Linked DNA regions of Bombyx mori. The protein of the gene in region 1 purifies or fractionates together with the protein of each later gene. This does not show direct contact. Links are inferred from orthologs where the notes say so. Each region holds a gene or a part of one and is shown on either strand. Other genes may lie near its edges.

Evidence for each region. Proteins that work in one complex are often made in the same cells at the same time.
Region 2: the proteins of histone-lysine N-methyltransferase 2C (region 1) and PAX-interacting protein 1 purify together in Homo sapiens (affinity purification with mass spectrometry; 4 studies listed by BioGRID and IntAct, with this or other methods). This does not show direct contact. The link is inferred for Bombyx mori from reciprocal best matches to the Homo sapiens genes KMT2C and PAXIP1.

Annotation. Positions count from the first base shown.
Region 1 is NC_085115.1:12,732,074-12,735,573, forward strand, and holds part of histone-lysine N-methyltransferase 2C, read left to right. Parts: intron 1-642; coding exon 643-948; intron 949-1,131; coding exon 1,132-1,290; intron 1,291-1,397; coding exon 1,398-2,393; intron 2,394-2,472; coding exon 2,473-2,532; intron 2,533-2,877; coding exon 2,878-2,968; intron 2,969-3,049; coding exon 3,050-3,153; intron 3,154-3,238; coding exon 3,239-3,500. UniProt on the Homo sapiens protein: Histone methyltransferase that catalyzes methyl group transfer from S-adenosyl-L-methionine to the epsilon-amino group of 'Lys-4' of histone H3 (H3K4).
Region 2 is NC_085122.1:9,066,735-9,070,234, forward strand, and holds part of PAX-interacting protein 1, read left to right. Parts: intron 1-1,402; coding exon 1,403-1,495; intron 1,496-2,643; coding exon 2,644-2,722; intron 2,723-3,500.

The DNA.
Region 1 (3,500 bases):
CATGGATATAAATCATATAAATATACTTTACACTTACAAAGTCAGCTTTTATTTCTTAATCTTGAAATTAATGTAAATGAGCTGCCATTTGTAGATACAAATTAGACGGTAATTTCTTTCAAAAAATATTTTCATTTAATCTAAGCTATAAATCTAGGTTGCTTGTCTCATCTGTCTAGTTATTAATGGTGGAGCTATTCAACTTCTAGCGCGTCAGGGATGGTGACCGTTTAATTTTAACAGTTAGATCGTTTCATTATCTTAATTTCTGTATTGTAGTTAAAAAAAACTGAACTTCTTAAATAGTAATTATTGACACAAATGAAGCATTGAATTTAATTAGCCTATTTAATGATTATTTTTTGCTGTAGTTTGTGATTAGACTGCACTTAGTTTTTTAAATAAAACACACTATGAAGACAATCACATACAGTGTTAAATTGATGACAGCCCTAAAATATTACCGAAAACTTTTATTAGTTTCTGTAATATATAAAGAGAATTGAATTATACATTTCTCATATATCAAGATGAGACAGGTAACTTAATGATTGAAAACTACTGAAATAGTAAAAAAATTGAAAGAAATTGAAATATCACCAATGGGTGATAGCAACGTTTAACAATTAGAACATAAATCAGGAGCAACCGTTGCTTCTCGAGGAGCTTCTGGAGCAGGAGAAGCGCGAACAGGAGCGGGAGGGCGAGTGGGGCGGCGGCGCAGTGGCGGCGCCGGCGGTGGTGGCCCCGCCCGCGCCCCCCGCCGTGCCGCTGTTCGCCGGCGTGCCCCCCGTGCAGCCGCCCGCGCCCTCCGACCGCTCGCACTCCGAGGCCGACCTACACGCGCGCCGCCTCTACGAGCAGTGGCTCAAGCAATTCAATGTCTTCGCAGTTGAGCAACAGCGATACTACGAGCTCGAGGTTCAGAAACTTCGCAAGATTCGCAAGGTGAGCTCCGTAGTGCGCTTTCGTGTTCGTAAGCTTTGTAGTGCGTAGCAGAACCCCCTTTGTTTTGCTTTTCGTTTTGGCAATATTTCCCTCTTCTTTATTATTTCGAGAATCCCCTTGGGATCCTGCACTCTTTATTTATTAGTTGACTTTTGTTCTACACCGGTGTTTTTTATTTTTCAGTCATTAAATAGCAAGCAACGGCAGCTACGTAAGTCGGGGAATGAGTTGCTACCAAACGACGCAGCCGAGCTACAGCGCGTGTCAGCAGAACAGCAGGCTCTTCAGAAACACTTGGACGCCGCCAGGAAGCAAGCCAGGCAGCACAGTATGTTGATCCAGGTGAGTTAATGTTATGATAACTACTTCATGTTTAATTTTCTTATCGTATATGAATTCTTAACGAACTACAGTTGTATCATCGCGATTAACCACTTTTAAAATTCCAGGAATATGAAAATAAACAACGTCAACAAAATCCTCAGCTGGCTCAGCAGACTATAATAAATCAACAGCAGATAGCGACAAATCAAGGCACGCTCAACCAGGCTCAGACTATGAACCAACAGCAGCAACATCAGCAACAAACTATCAATCGACCTATGCAGTTGGGCATCCAACAGCAACAGACGTTGATTCGGAGTCAGCAGACGGTTCTCAGTGGTGAGCAAAGGATTGGACTGGTGACGTCACCGCTGAGCGCTCAGAGCCGGCTCGTACAAGGACGCACGCTCGTCATCGAACAGAGCGCCGTCCCGCAGCCGCAGCTGGTGCGGCAACTGTCGGGGCAGGAGCGCGGCGCCGGCATGCTACAGTTCGCAGCGCAGCGCGCGCCCGCCCCCCGCGCGCCCGGCCCGCGCCCCGCCATGTCGCCGCTGCACGTGCAGTCGCAGTCGCCGCTGCACTCCCTCGCGCCGCAGTCACCGCTCCATCATCTCACCTCGCCGATGCAGTCACCGCTCCACTCGCAGCAGTCGCCGTTGCATCACACCTCACAGTCCCCGCTGCATCCTTCCACTCAATCTCCGCATCACACGCAACAGTCGCCACTTCATTCTCAACAATCACCGATGCACGTCCAACAGACCAATCTGCCTCAACAATCTCCGCTGCATCCGCAACAGTCACCGATGCATCCACAACAATCTCCGATGCACCCCCAACAGTCACCGATACATCCTCAGCAGTCTCCGATGCATCCGCAGCAATCGCCAATGCATCAGCAGTCGCCGATGCACGCACAGCAACAAATGACCACACAACATTCTCCGATGCACCAACAGAGTCCGATGCACTCTCAGCAATCGCCAATGCACGTCCAACAATCTCCAATGCATACTCAACAATCACCGATGCAAACATCGATGTCGCCGCAACATTTTCTTCAACAACTACAAGCTCAAAGAACAAGTCCTCAGCTACCTACGCCCAGTCGGAGTCCACAGGTAAAAAAATCTTCATTTTATTTTATACTTAAAATAAACACGAAAATTCTAGTTTTTAATAATTAAAAACATATTCCAGATTTATCAGCAATCACAAATACAAAGTCCTGTATCATCACATTCGCCACAGCTACAAAACGTATGTATTGAGACAAAATAATTTAAATGACTCTGATTTTTAGCTCCATGATGTAGGACTCCATAGGACAAGGATAGATTGCCTACATCGATACAGAATAGGTCGACATCACTTTCATTCGAGTAATAGCTATCCCTTCAGACCAGAACGTATGGACTGCTTCCTGGTCGAAAAATATGGTATAGGTCAATGCGACTAATAGGAAGTAGTGGGAAGGGTAGAAGAAGTTATGTAGATAAGTAAAATAAAGATATTTAACTGCAGATGGGTTTTGGGTTTTCAAGGAGGCTGTATACAGCATATTTTTTGTGTAGCTTTTGTGTGATATGATCTGACCTATTTCAGGCGGACTTTAGTGGTGCTCGATTTTCAAGACCGGCTTCTGGATGTTCACCAATGCCCACTCGGTTTGCTCGGCCACCTCATCATCAACAAGGTAAAAAAGAAAAACTTAATTATAAAAAAGTTAGTTATAACACACTAACAACTTTTATGCATTTTTCGTTTGTTAATGCAGGAATGAGAGTCGGTGTTGTGCCTTATGGTAGTCGGCAGCAAACTTCTCCTTTGGGGAGTCCACAACCACTGCCGTCTCCGGGCAATCCTAGTAACGAGCTAGCTGTGAGTTTATTTACACACATTAAGTAATTATAGATTTCTGAAAACAAATTTTTCAGTAACTAATCAATAAATTATCTTTGTGTAGAGACAACAAATGTTACAACGTCAGCAATACAGCCCAATGGGAGGGGCGCCGTCATCACCTTCGATATCGAGATCTCCGCACGTAGCGCGCACGCCCACGCCCTCGGCATCTCCTGCCGCTTCTCCAGCGCCCGACCACGGCGGCGGCTCCATGCACTCTCACCACGCCGCGCCCCTCCCGCCCTGCTACCGCTACTGCCGCCCCGGGCTGCGAGGGGGAGCCCCACCCTGGCCCCCCGCGCGACCCAAGCTCACCCTACTGA
Region 2 (3,500 bases), on another chromosome or scaffold:
GCGAAGGCCTTCGACAGGGTCTGGCATAGGGCACTTCTATCGAAGTTACCATCTTACGGAATCCCCGAGGGTCTCTGCAAGTGGATCGCTAGCTTTTTGGATGGGCGGAGCGTCACGGTCGTTGTAGACGGTGACTGCTCTGATACCATGACCATTAACGCTGGCGTTCCACAAGGTTCGGTGCTCTCCCCCACGCTTTTCATCCTGTATATCAATGACATGCTGTCTATTGATGGCATACATTGCTATGCGGATGACGGCACGGGGGATGCGCGATATATCGGCCATCAGAGTCTCTCTCGGAGCATGGTGCAAGAGAGACGATCAAAACTTGTGTCTGAAGTGGAGAACTCTCTGGGGCGAGTCTCCGAATGGGGTGAATTGAACTTGGTTCAATTCAACCCGATAAAGACACAAGTTTGCGCGTTCACTGCGAAGAAGGACCCCTTTGTCATGGCGCCGCAATTCCAAGGAGTATCCCTGCAACCTTCCGAGAGTATCGGGATACTTGGGGTCGACATTTCGAGCGATGTCCAGTTTCGGAGTCATTTGGAAGGCAAAGCCAAGTTGGCGTCCAAAATGCTGGGAGTCCTCAACAGAGCGAAGCGGTACTTCACGCCTGGACAAAGACTTTTGCTTTATAAAGCACAAGTCCGGCCTCGCATGGAGTACTGCTCCCATCTCTGGGCCGGGGCTCCCAAATACCAGCTTCTTCCATTTGACTCCATACAGAGGAGGGCCGTTCGGATTGTCGATAATCCCATCCTCTCGGATCGTTTGGAGCCTCTGGGTCTGCGGAGGGACTTCGGTTCCCTCTGTATTTTGTACCGTATGTTCCATGGGGAGTGCTCTGAGGAATTGTTCGAGATGATACCAGCATCTCGTTTTTACCATCGCACCGCCCGCCACCGGAGTAGAGTTCATCCATACTACCTGGAGCCACTGCGGTCATCCACAGTGCGTTTCCAGAGATCTTTTTTGCCACGTACCATCCGGCTATGGAATGAGCTCCCCTCCACGGTGTTTCCCGAGCGCTATGACATGTCCTTCTTCAAGCGAGGCTTGTGGAGAGTATTAAGCGGTAGGCAGCGGCTTGGCTCTGCCCCTGGCATTGCTGAAGTCCATGGGCGACGGTAACCACTCACCATCAGGTGGGCCGTATGCCCGTCTGCCTACAAAGGCAATAAAAAAAAAAAAAAAAAAAAAAAAAAAAAATGGTTAAGTAGTTATAACGGAACATCCGTAAAAACCACTGTAGATTTATATATTACTTTAGATTCCGATCCAACTTACCATTCTCTCTCCCTTCCGTTCTTCCCTTCACATAACGCTTTGACTTCCGGAACTTGTGTATATATATTTAATCAGCACATTACTGAGATTTAAGCTGTTTTTATACCAGGCGGGGACGGGCGGACAGTCTCCGCCGGGGGCTCCGCAGAGCGTCACCTTCATACGGAGCCAACTGGCGCCCGGACTCGCACCACAACAACAGGTAACATCAGTATTGCTTTTATGGTAAATCGCACAACCTGGTTAAGGAATTTATTTTCTGTGCATCATCTAACAAATCCTCAACACTATTATTCAATCAAATCAATTATTTTTGCACAATACACCACTACTGGCCATCTTGACTTTCTGTCACTATTTCCGCAGTCTTCATCTAAATCAGTATGGTATCATCAACGTCATCCTTCATATCTTTTTTTCAATACCCACCTTCAGTATTTTACCAACTGGCCTAGTGCCTACTACTTGGGTAAAGCCCATAAACTATCGCAATTGCAAAATATTGATGAAGCCTTTTGTCTGCTTTTTTTGCTACCTAAGCTGATGGTCTAGGGGGCTCAAACCTGACTATGTTCCTAACGCGAACCCTAGCAAGAGCTGTGCTTCGCAAAATCTACCACCGAATCGGAAACGCGACCCATTGAGTATCGGATCTCCAGCGAGAAACTTAGTGGGCTGGGTTCGACGAGAGCGAGTGCTTGGGGTACCTAAAATCACCGTTAGTGGATCGGGAGGATCCGAAATGACGTGTTTGGGGCGACGTCGACTGCTTTCCATTCGGTCCGCAGGATCGGGGATGTAGTTATCGGCGGCCACGATGAGTGGGCTCTCGTGTCGTGCCGCTTTATCGAAATGGCATTTTGCCTGCAATATTGGTACCAAAGTACTGGTTTTCGTTATCCGTGATTCGCATTCCATTGAGACTGCGACCTTATGTCCAAAGAAAGGCGGTGACGTTCAATTAGTGGACTCGATTTGTTCTTCTAAACTCTTAGCACGTTAAAATCATATCGAGCGATGAAATGCTATGTAGTTTAAGCAACATTTCACGTAATACGTAACATTTTATTTGATTATTACCATCAACAATTCGGTGTTTTTAATTGAACTTCAATTATATTGCCACATTCGAATAACTGAAAGAAGTTTTTTGGTCATGAGATTTTTTCTAAATTTTAAACTTTGAATGGATCTCCTTGTAAAGTTTAAAAAAATGACGCTTAATCCAAATAGCTTTTCACACCTCGATATTTAATAGTTTATCTGTCATTATCGAGTCGTTGAAATAATGAAGCAAAATTTTACGAAATCTGTATTCGAAAACTAGTCCTAATTATACTGTTGGTCAAGGTACAATGGCTGCAGCAGCAAGGAGCGAGGACCACGACTATACCAGCGGCCACGCCTGCCCCTCCACCGCAGTCTCCAGGTCAGATAAATAGGACAGTTTTTTTTTTAAAGATATTGTGTCCTGGTCACGAGGCCTTTAAGCCAAATCGTATTTCGAATTATACTCTGTTTTAAGGAATGTCATTGTAATACAAATTAAATGCCTTACGACTGTCTGCTGGTTCAAGAAATATGAAGTTTCTTGGTCGTATTTTTTGTGCTATTCGTACTCCATTGACTCGTGAACGTGTCTGTAGAAATGTCGATGAGCGAACGAGCTAACTTGATATTAAGTGGTACCTTGATTTGAAGTCGTCGTGGCCTAAAGAATAAGACGCCTGGAGCATTCGTATGTAGCGATTCACCGGTGTTCGAATCCCAGGCGGGTACCAATTTTTCTAATGAAATACGTACTCAACAAATGTTTACGATTGACTTCCACGGTGGAGAAATAACATCGTGTAATAAAAATCAAACCCGCAAAATTATAATTTGCGTAATTACTGGTGGTAGGACCCCTTGTGAGTCCGCGCGGGTGGGTACCACCACCCCGCCTATTTCTGCCGTGAAGCAGTAATGCGTTTCGGTTTGAAGGGCGGGGCAGCCGTTGTAACTATACTTGAGAACTTAGAACTGATATCTCAAGGTGGGTGGCTGCACTTACGTTGTCTATGGGCTCCGGTAACCACTTTCGTTTGGAGCCCCTGGGTCTGCGGAGGGACTTCGGTTCCCTCCGTATTTTGTACCGCATGTTCCATGGGGAGTGCTCTGAGAAATTGTTCGAGATGATACCATCGTGTCGTTTTTACCATCGCACC